Linked DNA regions of Arabidopsis thaliana. The protein of the gene in region 1 interacts with the protein of each later gene in a pairwise test. Each region holds a gene or a part of one and is shown in the gene's direction. Other genes may lie near its edges.

What was found. Proteins that work in one complex are often made in the same cells at the same time.
Region 2: the proteins of G6PD1 (region 1) and ATHM2 interact in a two-hybrid assay, tested with the Arabidopsis thaliana proteins (one study listed by BioGRID).

Annotation. Positions count from the first base shown.
Region 1 is NC_003076.8:13,953,818-13,963,547, reverse strand, and holds G6PD1 (glucose-6-phosphate dehydrogenase 1), read left to right. Parts: upstream 1-3,717; 5' UTR 3,718-3,861; coding exon 3,862-4,084; intron 4,085-4,670; coding exon 4,671-4,908; intron 4,909-4,990; coding exon 4,991-5,105; intron 5,106-5,186; coding exon 5,187-5,392; intron 5,393-5,477; coding exon 5,478-5,627; intron 5,628-5,719; coding exon 5,720-5,840; intron 5,841-5,918; coding exon 5,919-6,349; intron 6,350-6,422; coding exon 6,423-6,669; 3' UTR 6,670-6,876; downstream 6,877-9,730. UniProt on the Arabidopsis thaliana protein: Catalyzes the rate-limiting step of the oxidative pentose-phosphate pathway, which represents a route for the dissimilation of carbohydrates besides glycolysis.
Region 2 is NC_003075.7:1,561,703-1,568,132, reverse strand, and holds ATHM2 (Thioredoxin superfamily protein), read left to right. Parts: upstream 1-3,928; 5' UTR 3,929-4,077; coding exon 4,078-4,321; intron 4,322-4,737; exon of another isoform or gene 4,738-4,896; intron 4,897-5,231; coding exon 5,232-5,548; 3' UTR 5,549-5,930; downstream 5,931-6,430. UniProt on the Arabidopsis thaliana protein: Thiol-disulfide oxidoreductase that may participate in various redox reactions. May activate NADP-malate dehydrogenase.

The DNA of each region.
Region 1 (9,730 bases):
AGGCCAATGCCCACAACTCCGCCCAATAATATTTTGTAACCAAATCATGTTACTCCAAACCTCTTCTCCGATCTTCATCATCCATAATGTTAATGAAAGCGGCTAATGCATGAATACAAGGATATTTTTGGATATCGAAAACCTTGCAACTGCAAGTTTTCAAAAGCAAGCTCACCGTATAATCTATTCCTTTGTCGCATGTGACTACATATTCACGCTCGAATGAGTTTAGTTCCACCACTTTTAGCTTCTCGGCAAAAACCCACAAATCATGCAAATAATTCTCGACCAAAGGCACCATCTTATTTTCTAAGGATCCAGACGCGGCTTCCATCCGATGTTCATTAAACCAAACGGAGATTTTTTTGATGATCGCATCAAGCATTGGTATTAACGAGTATTTCCTTGCGTTTTTAAACACATTGTTCAAAGATTCCACACAATTGCTTGTGTCTAAGTTGTATCTTTCTCCGGGAAAACAACACCTTGCCCATTTTTCTTTCACGGTTGTATCCTCCAAATACTTGGTCGCCTTAGGATATCTCAACTTAAACCCGTCATACGCTCGGTTGAAGTCTGCCACGACGTAGACCCGACTTAACTCCTGAAACTTCCATGCGAGTACATCTCGGTTGGTGTGAGTAGCATGACCTTTCACATTTTGGGACAAATGCCAAATACAATACCCGTGATGAGCCGCGGTATACACGTTCCGTATGGCCTTTATGAGGCTTGCATTTCTGTCCGTCATGAAAACCAATTCTGAAGTATCGGGTACAACCGTTTTTAGCTTCTCGAAAAACCACTCCCAACTAGCATCATTCTCACCGTCGAGTACGGCAAACGCTATGATGTAATGGTGACGGTTAGGATCTTGAGCCGAGGCAAACACTAGCACTCCGCCATATCCGTTCTTCAAATGTGTTGCATCCACAATTAAAACTTTCCTCATCACTCTAAAACCTTCAATGCTAGCTCCCAAAGCTACGAATATGTACTGAAATTTATCATTCTCATCCAATTTCAGATAAGTAACTGTACCATCATTTACCTTCTTCAACATGTATAAATAACAATTGATATCCTTGTAGCTTTTTTCCGGGCTACCTTTTAAATCATAAATCGCATGATATTTCCCCCTTAGCGCTGTCGAGTATGATACTTTCACACCTAATTTCGTCTGAACTAGCTCCATGATAATTCTTGGAACCGGAGTTTCCAACTGTCCCGAAAAATGATCATGAAGGAGAGCTGCGACTAATTGTGGGTTGCCTTTTTTTTTCCTGAGCCTACTACTACCTTTACTTAGCCGAGTGCAACTATGCATCTTATTATACCTTCTAATCGAGAATATATCAATATTACTGATATTGGACGCTCGTAAACGCCAAGAACAGCTCTCTTTGGCACACTTTAGGACATAGCGCTCCTTATCCGACTTCTTAATCACATAACCAAAAATGGTAGCAAATACAGCTCTATCCACCACCTCGTGCAATGCCGCCTTGTTTGGAAATTCTTGACGTAAGGTCAACCCAATTCCGTCTTCCCATTCTTTCTTAAACATACCCGGTTCTACAACAGGTGGCGACTCAACATACTGTTCCCCCCTATCAGAATCATCCATAGACTCATCATAGCGTGTTTCATCTTCTTGAGTCTCGTGATCCTCCACTATTGCCTCAAGTTGATGTTGAGTTCCGTGATCCTCCACTATTGCCTCAAGTTGATGTTGAGTCCCGTGATCCTCCACTATTGCCTCAAGTTGATGTTGAGTTCCTTGTTCCTCTTCTAATAAGACGATGAGTGCACCATCATCCACTCTCATTTCATCCTCCTCTGTATAGTTCTTACCAACAGAACTTTTACCAACTCTAGACAATTGCTCGGGCAATTGCTCCGGCTCGGGCGGTTTAGAGATCTCCTCCACAACCAAAACACTTCTTCAGTTATTTTTTGCGGATGTTACATAAACAAAGACATCCTCATCATCACAAACGTTCATTTCTTCCTCTACTCCGAACAACCGTGGATTGTACCTCATATGCAATTTTACCTTATTTGCATCTAATCCAAGCTTCGTCATTATCCTATCTTCTAACATTGAGAGAGTAATCTTCTCCCCTAATGTCTTCATCATCACATTATACATGCGACCTTGGAATTTAAAATATATGATCACGTTCTCTTTCATTGTAACCTGCCAAAACAATACACATACTCAGTCAATATTACTAGTATTATCGATTCTAGTACATTTTCAGTAATACTATTACTAATTCTGAAATATTACATGTGTGAGTAATACTATTACATATATGAAATACTACGTGTCTAAGTAATATTGGTGCTATTAAAACATACTATCTATATAAATTACGGTACTACTATAGTTAGTGCGACCAGTATTATTTTCGCGACAAGAACAAATATTCGATTTGAGTTCAATTTAGTATGAATCAGCATGTGAAATCAATTGCTTACCCATTAACAGACCAAATGAAGCCTAAATCTATACTTAAACTTCTAATGTAGGTGCTAAAACACAATAATCCAAATCTAATTTGATTGAATTTCAAAATCCTCAAAATATGTAATTCAAAGCTTTTGAAGCTCTCTCCATACCTGGACTTAGTAGATTGATGCAGCTTGCAGGAGGAGAAAAACGACAATGCGGCTCGCCGGAGGAAGAAGCCCGAAGAAGAACGAGCTCGAGCTTTTTTTTTTTTTCCGTTTTTTTTTTTTTCAAAATGTTTTCTAGAAATATTAATTATTCATTCAAAATAAAATACAGGGGTAAATTCGTCTTAACACAATTCATTAACTCAAAGGAGATAGGAAGACTCTAAAGTGGTTTTGCAGATTAGTTGTCCCACAAAAGGGACACAAGAGATGATCATTCTAAATAATGACTAGGATTCAACCTGTGTTTTATTATTTTGGGTGATTGTTGTATATTTAGTAGGAGAATATATTTTAATGTCGTCAAGCATGTGTACTATTTAATAAGTTTGTATGTAATTTTAAGATAGTTAAAGTAGTTAAATAAATGTGAAAAAGTTTAAGTATTCATAAGTTTTAGGCATTAAAATTTTTCTTATACTTTGTTTTTTTTAGATTAAAAATATTTTGAACTTTTTTGATATGATTTATAAAAATCAATAATACTCAAAAAGTAAATGACAGAAAGATTAATGATAAAATTTTAATTAAGTAAAATATTTTAAACAAAATGAATAGGTTTTTTAAATTTTTATTGTAAGTAATTCTACAAAATGTGGTTAAATTAGGTGAAAATAGAATCTTAGAAATAATATTTGTATAAATGATGCTCATTATTCATCATGCTAAATTGGAGTCTTTGTTAATCAGAGAAGTCAGCTTATGCAGTATATTTAGAAAAAGCCAAAAAGGCTAGAAAGAGATAACATAAAACAACTTTCCTTTGTTGTTGTTATAAGTAAAACATTTACGAAAAATCCCGGATATTCACCTAGTAAATTAATAAAGTGTGCATAAGAGAGTACTAAAATGAATAAAGTATGAAATTTACTGCTAAACCAAAATCACCTTTCCAGCGAATTGTGGTCGTTCGAATGGAATAATCCGGTTAAGCTATACCAGAGATGGATGTTAATACGGTTTACTTTCTTGAGAAAAAAAGAATTTATGCAAAGAAAAATAAAACTTTTTTGACAAATAAGATATGTGGATAATGTGAGAGATAAGAAATATCGAAAACTATATAATAAAACTACTGTTGTGGATAATGTAAGAGACGATACAAATAGCCTCATAAGGCAAAAAACAATGGCATCATCATCATCATCACATTTGTTTTGACGCTCCAAGAAAATTTGCATGGCGACACATTCTATGATCATTCCTTCTCCTTCTTCTTCTTCCTCGTCTCTCGCTACTGCTGCGTCTCCGTTTAAAGAGACTCTACCACTCTTTAGTAGATCTCTCACATTCCCGAGAAAATCCTTGTTTTCTCAGGTTCGCTTGAGATTCTTCGCCGAGAAACATTCTCAGCTTGATACTTCAAATGGGTGTGCCACTAATTTCGCTTCTTTACAAGATTGTGAGTTTCTTCTCCAGTTTCTATGTGACTAGATTAGTTTTTGATAGAATTCTTGATGAAGTTTCTTGTACCTGTCGTTGATTGTGTTGTTAGGATTGTAACAGTTTTATGTCTATTGAAGAAAGTTGTTCAAGATTGTATCTTTATGACCTTTTATACTCAAAGATACCATCTTTGATTGTAAAGTTTATGTCTTTGAGTATTCTAGGATTGAATGTAGAAGATTAGAGTGATTGTGAGTTGGTTAGATAGCAATGAGTAAGGGTTTGGTTTTGGAATTTGGTTAATAAAGTCTCTTTCTTTATGAACTGAAGTAGTTTTGTAGCCTCTGTCTGTGTTTTTGACGATTGAAGAAAGTAGTTCAAGATTGTATCTTTTGTACTCAAGGATACCATTTCTCATCTAAGGATTATGTCTTTGAGTATTCTAGGATTGAATGTAGTAGATTAGAGTGATTGTGAGGTAGTGAGGGTTTGGTTTAGCAATTTGGTTGATAAAGTCTCTCTTTTTATGAATTGAAGTAGTTTTGTAGCTTTTGTTTGTGTTTTTGATTCTTTGGAGGATGGTTTTTACCAAATTGTTTCAGCTGGAGATCAACTTACAGAGGAACATGTTACAAAAGGAGAGTCTACTCTTAGTATTACAGTTGTTGGAGCGTCAGGGGACTTAGCCAAGAAGAAGATATTTCCTGCATTGTTTGCTCTCTTTTATGAGGGTTGTCTTCCTCAGGACTTTTCTGTTTTTGGTTATGCTCGGACTAAACTCACTCATGAAGAGCTTCGTGACATGATTAGTAGTACTTTAACTTGCCGGATTGATCAGAGGTATATTCTGCTATACGTTTTTAGTGTATGTTTTAGTTAAAGTTTATGCTTTGGTTATATGAACAAAAGTTGGAATCAACAGGGAAAAATGTGGGGATAAGATGGAGCAGTTCTTGAAAAGATGCTTTTACCATTCGGGTCAGTATAACTCGGAAGAGGATTTTGCGGAACTAAACAAGAAGCTCAAAGAGAAAGAGGTAATTTTCTTTCACTCTCTCTATGCTTATTTCTTGTACCAATGGCACGAAGCACATTTCTAATTCCTTTCTGCTTTGTAGGCAGGAAAGATATCAAACAGGCTGTACTATTTGTCGATACCCCCAAACATATTCGTTGATGTGGTTAGGTGTGCAAGTCTTAGAGCCTCCTCAGAGAATGGCTGGACAAGGGTCATTGTGGAAAAGCCATTTGGTCGTGACTCTGAATCATCCGGAGAGTTAACTAGATGTCTGAAACAGTATCTTACAGAGGAGCAAATCTTCAGGTTAGCCATTTCCTTAGCCCAACAGCCATCACTGCCATTCATTTTTAAGCTGGAACTTAACTGCAATGTTATGTGACATACGTAGGATTGATCACTATTTGGGAAAGGAGCTTGTTGAGAACCTTTCAGTGCTCCGATTCTCAAATCTTGTTTTCGAGCCTCTGTGGTCAAGAAATTACATACGCAACGTTCAGCTGATTTTTTCTGAGGATTTCGGAACAGAAGGGCGTGGAGGGTAAGCTTTCATAAACAACTTACAAAGCATGAACACTGAACACCTTTGATCAGTATGACACTGAACACCTTACTAATGTTAAATCGATGCAGTTACTTTGATCAATATGGAATCATACGAGACATCATGCAAAACCATCTCTTGCAAATACTTGCACTTTTTGCAATGGAGACGCCAGTGAGCTTAGATGCTGAGGACATAAGAAGTGAAAAGGTAAGACTTTTTTCACTAAGAAGAAAAGCTTTAGGTTGGTTATAAAATACTATACCGATGATTATGTGTTCCTGTAAGGTGAAAGTTTTGAGATCAATGAAACCGTTGCGGCTTGAAGATGTGGTTGTTGGTCAATACAAAGGCCATAACAAGGGAGGAAAAACTTATCCAGGTTATACAGACGATCCAACGGTTCCAAATCACAGTCTCACTCCTACATTTGCTGCAGCAGCCATGTTCATCAACAATGCGAGATGGGACGGTGTTCCTTTTCTTATGAAAGCTGGAAAAGCTCTCCATACCAGAGGAGCAGAGATCAGAGTTCAGTTCAGACATGTCCCAGGAAACTTGTACAAGAAAAGTTTTGCTACTAATTTAGACAATGCAACAAATGAACTAGTGATTAGAGTTCAGCCTGATGAAGGGATATACCTGAGGATCAACAACAAAGTTCCTGGTCTTGGAATGAGACTAGATCGCAGCGACCTTAACCTTCTATATCGATCCAGGTACAACAATGCATACTACTGATTCTAGTTTTCCTATAGAGATTATTTATTTATATTCTTTTGGGGTTGATAGGTATCCAAGAGAGATACCAGATGCATATGAAAGACTGCTTCTCGATGCAATCGAAGGAGAGAGGAGGTTGTTTATCAGAAGTGATGAGCTAGATGCAGCATGGGATCTATTCACACCGGCTTTGAAGGAACTAGAGGAGAAGAAAATCATTCCTGAGCTCTATCCATATGGAAGCAGAGGTCCTGTTGGTGCACATTACCTTGCATCTAAGTACAATGTGAGATGGGGAGATCTTGGAGAAGCTTAAGCTTTCGACAGAAACAATATGATTTGGTGTTAATATGAGTAAACTAACTTGTCGATATTATCAATGCGTAGATAAATCCTTGTTACCAAAACTTGCTTTTTCTCTGACATTTTTTGATTGTTTTTGGTTCTAAATCGAGCATTTCGGAGGAATGTACCAAAACTCTTGCAGGAATAGACCATTTCCATCATTGCAACAGGTTTAGAGGAGAGATCTGAGATAACACAAAGGTATATTGAACAATGCAGTAACTTAAGTAGACAAAACAACAAACCATACTTATGACAAAATAGTTTATTTTCAAACAATGATAAAGAACTGAGACAACAGAGGAGACAGACAAGTTACTTAACACTTCCAACAAGTTACTACTATGCTAAAAAGGCAAAAACCTCAAGAATCACTTGAAACTATATAAATGAAACCTCAAGAGACAAATGAAAATATCAGAGAGCTACTATGTCTCAAGAGGAAAGCAGAGGACTCCACGGCACCTGAAAGTCCAAAGACTGATATTGTCGCCAGCCTTTAAGCCGTTACCTTTGACTACATCGTTCCAACCCCAATTCAAAATGTAATTCAATGTTCCGTGTCCAGAGTCCTTCTCCATCGCCCATATCTTGAAACGCAAACCCCACATTTTAGATCTTTGGTTCACAAGAATCGTTCCCACACCAATATTCTTGTCATCTTCGTTGTCTTCGTCTTTCTGTATGGCTCTACACTCCGCAGGCGTCAAGAAGTCGTTTCTGATTAGCTGCTGGAAAGGGATTAAGAGACGGCTCAGGCCTGATTTGACATCACTATTGAACAGAGTCCTCTCAAATATCAGCCTCGGGGTTTCAGCATCAGCGTTCATGTATCTCATCACCTGGAAAACCCACTCTGGCGTCTCTATAGACATCCTTGGCAAAGAAACAACCCTCGCTTTCTTGAGTTTACCACTCTTCCTCTGCTGCACGGCACGCCTCTTGCGGCTTTTGTTCTCCGTTAGGCATGAAGACGAAGATGAAGATTGGTAATTAGGGTTTGTTAGGTTTTTCTTCTCTGTCTTCCCCAACTTAGCCGTGTTGTAATCCAAGGGTAACGAAGGATCATAACAACGAAGGTTCAAGAACGATGAAGACGCAGAAGCCCCATTATACACCAACTAACGGCTCATCAAAACTAGGGTTTTGTTGGGTTTTCAAGTCGTAATCAGTGGTGATTAGGTTCAGATCGAGAACCGCTGAAGAAGTAGAAGCCCCGTTAGGGTTTTGCTGCGTGTATCTTCTCTTCACCAAAGACGATCTGATTTTTCTCGGGAAACGATAGAAGAAACTCTTGTCGCTATCTTCTTCTTTAGAGACAGTCTTTAGAAGACGACGAAATTGTTCTTCTTCCGCAACCATAACCGCAACTTCGGCCAGTAAACAAAGACTCGAACACATATCCTTCCCTGAATCCGTGAGATCGTACATAGTCATTGTAATGGAACCGAAAGACTCGAAAGCTCTGAGAATGAAGTCGTGAGGAACAAGGAAATTAGAAAGATGGAGAGCCGCTGATCGAATAATGCAGAAAAAAGTTGCCTTCTCTTTAAGGAAAGAGGGTAGGGCTTTTTGTTGTTTCCATTTTTCTTTTGAGTTTAGTGGTTTAATTACTGTGATTAGTAACTAATTATAGCCGTTGTGATCAAGTTAACGTTTCTATTTAAGATTTAGTCCCCATATCTTTCGATTATTACGAAATTGCACCACTTATTTCGTCATATGAATTCACCCCACATCTTTCGGTAGACAGAATCCATTGCCAATTCTTATGATTTATTATGTTGTTGTAAAGTATAATTTTTTAGAGTCGCTGACTGAATCTAAATGAATCATATTATCCTCTTATAATTATAATACACAGAATCCATTGCCAATTCTGATAATTTCTTAAGAATTGATTTATATTATCCTCTTATAATTATAATAGAATTTAATCTTAATTTTAAAAATTATTATTATAAATTTCACTAATTTTAAAAATTACTTATTTATTACCTTTTTACACACTATATAACGTTTTATAGTTTTTCATAAATCTTGTTAAATCCTCCTCTTCATTAGATATATTTGCCATCATTTATTTTTCTTTTTTCTTTTTTTCTACTGCCATTTATTTTTCATTTCTTAAATATCTTTTTAATACTTTTTAAAGCCCATCCTCCACAATGATATGAACTAGAAAATCTTTTATTATAAATAATTGACCAAAAAACTTATGTTTTTTTTGGTAAAAAATACTTAAGTTTGTACATACTTATTTGCATATTTGTTTTATGGCAACACTCATCTATATTTCGAGAAAAGAGGCATGTGTTTTTCTTCTTTAGATTTATATATATATATATATATATATATATATATATAAAATATATTTTTTGTAAAAGGATTATATATATATATATATATATATATATATATAGTTCAATATTAACTTATACAAAAATAATGTGATGTTAGTTTTTTTCACCTGAATCGTATTAGATTATCTTTAGTTTTCTTACAAGAGTCCAGCGAGAGAATATATGGTTTCTGATCCAATCAAATTTTATATTTAGTTGTATGGTCGGGTTTGACTACAAAGACATTTGCAAAATAAATGTATCAATCATACAGCAAAATGAGGTTTTCTTGTCATTATTTGCCATCCTATTTGTTTGGGGTTTCACAAGGCCTAAGTCAAATTTGCACAGAATCGGTAAATACAATGTTGCCACGCAAATCAAATTAGCTAAAAACCATAAATTTTGATTGCTTAGGATTTTTTTTTTAAATGACAAATCGTTTGCTGAATTCAAGTACCCACAAAACAAAATGAATTTGAGAGATTTGACATTTTATTAAAATTCCCTGTAGAATTGGTTATCATGGCTTGCTTTTATTGATGAACTCACGTTCGTATTCATACAAGAGAGCTCCACAGGAGATAAACACAGATCCTAAAATATAGGTATCCCAAACCTTATCACAAAGGGATTTAAAACCATAAATTCTAATTCATATAGATTCATATCTATCCTCCAATACTCCCC
Region 2 (6,430 bases), on another chromosome or scaffold:
TTTTTGTTAATTTAGAATCATAAACCTACGAAAGAATCCAAAATAATCTCTGAGGAAGGTGCATCTCATAGATAAAATCCTTTCTTCAGATATTGAAATGAACCGTAAACATGGACCCATATCTATGTAGATATAAGATATCCAAGAAAATATATTTAAGTTTCGCAGAGCAGGTGAATCGAACTTAGAACGTGTTAACATCCCAAGCCCGTTTCCTTTTGCATTGTTTTAACATTATTGTTTTCTTTAAACCAACTACCAAGATTTAGTTATCACTTATCAAGTATGAAGATCAAAAACCAGCGACGACCAATAGCTTATTAACATACCTTGTGGCGGATATATCGTATGAACAAACCTTGTAGAAAAATTGTTAACTGAAATCTAAAGCAAAAAAATTCTATAATATTTGGAGATTCAAGACTACATTGTTACTGATACAAATGACTAAAAAAATATTTAGTTTACAATTAACAATTATAAAAATATTTAACAAACTTAAGTGATAAGTGATAACACATTGATACTAATACAAATGACTAAAATTTTATTCGTTTGGTAGTAATTAGTACTTGTGCTGATCAATCATTATAACAAATTTACCATTAGTTTCTAGTCAAGAAACTTAGAATCGTATAAGCAGACTGAGTCCATGAACATTATAGAACCCACATCATTCAACTTCAAAACCAACATTTGTTGGGAAAAAGACGATGAGATTGTTGACGATATTAGTAAAACAATCTCATTCTCATTAATTAGCAAAAGAGTACAATTGGGGGTTTATATACAAACTGACATTGGCCTAAACCATAAGCCTCTAAACCAAAATTAAGATTGGTTTATAGAATACCAACCTGTACAGACTCTATATGAAATCTATACTAACCAAACTAAGCTTATATACAACAATCTAAGCTATATACATTAATAGTCCCCCTCAAGATGGGACGAAGATGTTGAGTAGACCCATCTTGCTTATTAGACGTTGGAAGTGCGATGGATACAAAAGCTTGGTGAACGGATCTACAATTTGCAATTCAGTATTTGCAATTTGCTTAGACTTGAAAGAAGTTGGATAACCATGTTTCTTGTAACAAGTGTCTTCAACATGACCAGGGCGACTACAGTAAGTACAAACTGGCCTCTCCTTTTTCTGATAGGTGTCTCCATTAAGAACAGATTGTGAAGACTGATTGGAGACTGCAAACACTGATGAAGTCATTCCTGGAGTAGTAGAAATCCTTGCAGAACGTTGAATTTCATCCTGATCAATCATGTTGAATACCTCAGACAAAGAAGGCAAAGTTTTCTTCATGAGAATCTGACTTCTAACAGCATCATAACAATCATTGAGTCCCATAAGAAAATCAATGACTCTATTAGTCTCTCTTTCAATCAGAAGATCTTCTACAGTCCGTGGAATAGCCTGAAGACTCGTCAATTCTTCCCAAAGAGTTTGTTTACGAGTATGATACGATGACAAATCCAGATTGCCTTGACGAAGAGAGTGAATCTGTTGACGCAGCTTGTAAAGTCGAGGGAGGCTAGATTTGTGAAATCGAGTATAGAGATCTTTCCAGATTGCAGCGGCTGTGGGAAAATACAAGATGCTTGTATAGATCTCCTTCGATACACTATTCAGAAGCCAAGACTTAACCATACTGTTACAACGACGCCAGATTTTGCAATAAGGATCATCATCATCAGGTTTTGGAATAGATCCATCCACAAATCCAAGCTTATTCTTAGCTTCAATGCTAGTAGTCATGGCTATAATCCAGGTACCATAGCTGTTTCCATCTAACAGTTCTGGAGCTAAGACTAAACCAGGATGATCGGAGCTAACAAGATGATAAGGACTGTGACTATTATCAGGAGAATCCGATACCTCAAAGTGACGCGATGAGCTGTATTGAGCTGGTTGATGAATCGCAGCATGAATCGAGGATCCTGGAGCTCTTGCTGATGAACCAGAAGACTGCTCATGAATCTTCGATGAAGCAATGACAAGTAGATCCGGTGAACTACTCCGACGAACACTCTTTCCATTTCGTTTACCCATGGAGAATCGAAACAGCTAACAAATGAGACTGGATCGCAAAGGAAACGAAGAGAAAACGTGTAGAAGTTCAAGAGAAGAAAAAAAATGAGAAGATGAACAAACTCCGGTGAGATTCCAGTGAAATCAAATCGGAAAAGTTTGTTACGAGACTGAGATCGAGATATTTTGCTCTGATACCATATTAGTAAAACAATCTCATTCTCATTAATTAGCAAAAGAGTACAATTGGGGGTTTATATACAAACTGATATTGGCCTAAACCATAAGCCTCTAAACCAAAATTAAGATTGGTTTATAGAATACCAACCTGTACAGACTCTATATGAAATCTATACTAACCAAACTAAGCTTATATACAACAATCTAAGCTATATACATTAATAGACGAAATTTTTAAACAAAACCCAGGATTCGAACATCAAATAACCCATCCCCAACGCAACAAATATTATCAACCAACTTTTCATTTCATCAATGACACTGTGAATCATATAAAAGAGATATGATGTCGGTGTTGAAGATAACTTCTTTATTGTAAGATTATTTTGATCGAATAAGCTGCCTCAAATCTTCTAATTTCGACAACTCTTTATCTGTGAGGACACTATGAACACGTTTGTAAAAATCCATCACTTGGTCTCTAGCTACCACCATTTTCTTTCTTCGCATAGGGCTGGGGAATAATGAGTTCTTACAGTGAAAACATAAGTGGTGACCGGACGCATTGAACCTAACATCGTAGAAAACATTGAGGAAATTTTTGTAACATAATAAAAAGAGACATGTGGAAAGAGAAAACAAAAATAAAACAAAATATTGAGAAGAAACCAAGAAAGGAGGAATTTCTTTAGTAGAGAGATCTACCGAGATTATAAAGAAATTGAGGAGTAGAAGAGATGTCAGCGAGCTAAAGTGACATCAGAGGAAAGACTTTGAAGTGGTTCCTCAATACTAGAGGTATATAAGAAAAAGAAAAAGAGGCAGATCCAAAATGTTGGTTTTGAAAGTTTTATAGATTTTTAAGATTTTGTTTTTGTTTTCATTTTTCAAGAGCTAATTGTCATACCATTACCAATCAAGTTTTAAAATGTTGGTTTTCCAAGAAAATACTTTTGCTATAATCTTTTTTTTTGTCATCAGATATTATTTAGGATTCAACGAACCAATTTTGAAGAAAATTGTTAACAAAAGCGAATTTTTCATGCCAAATAGTTTTTTATTCAAAATTTTAGACTTTTAGTTATCTTATAAGCAAGCGTTATAATTTATTTATTTTTTTAAAGAAAATTTTGAGAAAAACAATTGCGAAAAAATGTCAGGAGATCTTCAAATGTTCAAAAATACAAAAAAAAAAAAAAAAAAAAAAAAATTAGTGTGGGGTAAAATAATACGTTTAAATTTTATTGACTTTTCATTTCAATAGTCAACTTTTAGTGACTTCTTATTTCAGTCGCTAACTTTTTGTTGATGTTGCCAAAATAGTCATTAAATTGACCCGAGATCACAAATTGCGGGTAACGGAACTTTGTTAAAATTTCTGTTAAATCCACAAGTGACTGGATTAAAAAAAAAAAGTGCAACTGGCCTAATATGAGCCCAATAAAAAATATCTCAAAAGTTTTATGGGCTTATTACAGATGGGCTTAGTCAGAGCACTATCTTACCCAAACAATTAAAAAAACAATTTACAATATGTTTTCGTTTTCTACTTTTTTCGGTTATTTTGGGCAAATGATATCTACAGCTCAACAAATCAAAAAAATTCAAAAATATTTCAATTTATTATTTCTCGATTTTTTTCACAACTGTATTTTAATTGTATTTTTAGTAGAAATACTTATTTTTCCAAAAATATTTGTTTGTGTTGATGTATATATAAAAAATCTGCATCAGTGTTTTGTCTACATTTTCTCTTCCATTAGTTTCGTTATCTTTTTATTTTCTCTATCTATCTGGATATTATTTTTTCACTTGGGGATTTGGAGAAACCTCTCCTCTCTCTATCTATAGCCATGGCTGCTTTCACTTGTACCTCTCGTCCTCCGATTTCTCTCCGCTCCGAGACCAGAATCGTATCCTCATCACCATCGGCTTCTTCTCTCTCTTCTCGGCGGATGTTCGCCGTCTTACCGGAATCATCAGGTTTGAGAATCCGTCTTTCTCTCTCTCCGGCTTCGTTGACCTCGATTCATCAACCTAGGGTTTCTCGATTACGAAGAGCCGTCGTCTGTGAAGCTCAGGAAACTACTACCGATAGTATGTTTTCTCACTATTCCTTTTTCGATTTTGGTTATTAACTTGTCTTTGATTCGTGCTCGTTGGTGGATTTTGAGAACTGATTATTGATTTGTGCGAGGGAAATTAGAAGCAAGGTGCTTGAATTTGTGTTGTTGTTCTTGTTGTAGCATTTAGTAATCTGCTAAAAACTTGAGATTAGTTACAGATTAGTGAATCTGGAGGAGGAAGAAGAGTTTCTTTAGGAGAGTATACCTTTTGAGAAAATTCTTGCTGAAAATGAGGTTTCTGTTAGAGGAACGATTCATGCCATTTGCGTGAAATTTGAAGAAGGTTGCTTTTTAGGATCACTTCTTTTTTGGGGATATTTTACTTGATTAATGCAAAGTCTCTCTAACAAACCTAGAAATTAGGTTGGGTACCTACTCAGATATTTTATTGGTTGGATCATACACATTGTGACAAGAAACAGTTATTTGGCTCATGAGAGAAGAATGTTGCTTTTTGTGCTTTAGAGTAAACATATCTTGATTCTCTATACCAGCAGATAACGATTTTGGTTATCACTAGCATTGATATTCTACGATTTTAGATAGGTAAGTCCTTTTCCGTGATAATGTGTTTGGTGAGATTAGCAGTATTATCTGCTACAATGTTAACTCAGTCATTGGTCTCTCCTCTCTGGTGAAAACATAAAGCTTTATCCTTCACTGGATCTATCAAATTTCTATTTTGAAAAACTTTCACTTCTAGATCATTTTTAGGAAATATCATATAGACTTGCTACAACATACTGATCTAGCTGAAGATGGATAAACGGGTCAGCTGTCTCTTTGTTTTATTCGTCCACCTTGGCTGATATATTTTGTTTTCATTCATGATTCTAAAAGCTTTGGCAATAAGGTGTTGATTTGTGTTATTGATCCTGCAGTTCAAGTGGTCAATGACTCGACATGGGACTCTCTAGTTCTTAAAGCAACTGGGCCTGTAGTTGTCGACTTTTGGGCACCATGGTGTGGACCTTGCAAGATGATTGATCCGCTTGTAAACGATCTAGCACAGCATTACACTGGGAAGATCAAGTTCTACAAATTAAACACTGATGAATCTCCTAATACTCCCGGCCAGTACGGAGTTAGAAGCATCCCAACGATCATGATCTTTGTCGGTGGCGAGAAGAAGGATACAATCATAGGTGCAGTGCCCAAAACCACACTCACATCTAGCCTCGACAAGTTCTTGCCATGAAATATCACTTGTGGAGTCTGTAAGATCTCGTATCTCTCTGTCTCTCGTTCTTGTTCTCATTATCTCTGTAACTCATTATCACTGAACATCTAGACCTGGATAAATAATATGATGTCATGTCTTATGTCATTTTTACTGGTTTGAAGATGTTTTGAGATGCGGAACTAAAGGTATCAAAGAACAATCTTGGACTAGACTAATGGAACCACATTAAAATGATTCCACCAATCTTTTTTTGGTCATGAGAGAGATCTTAAGATTGTTTGGTTCTGCAAGTTTTTTGATGAACACACGCTAAGGTTTGTTACTTATTCTAAAACTCCTCGTATTAAAAGATATTATGCGACACTCTAATGAATGAGCACATGTATGCAAAAGGGGCTAAAGGTTCATACATGTCCTAATCTAAAGAAAGAATATACGTATTCAGCTGAAAAAGGTCTTTATCGACCACGAGCAAAAGAGAATAAATACGTTCGAAATATCTCCTTATTTTTGCATAAGCAAAGAAATTCATCCACCATAGTTTATGTGTACCCAATTTGTGGATAAGGATATGTCAATTAGGACAAAATGAATAATAGCCGAAAGAATTGAGTTATTTTTGGACTGATCCCACAGTTCCCGACAAGCTTTTGAGGTTTTAGAGTTGTTGATCCGGTCTATGACTAAAGTTCGACCAAAACCAAGTTATTTAGTTTGGACAATATAAATCAGAAATATCAAGAAGATAAATTATATGATTAGTTCATAAAGTTTTAGTTTTAGATTGCCAAGAAAATATTCTAATATATTAGGTCTGAACGAAAGTGTTAAATCTGATGAAACCTCTCTATTGGTAATGTCTTTTTTTTTTTTTTTTGGTTGCCGTCCTTGGTTTGA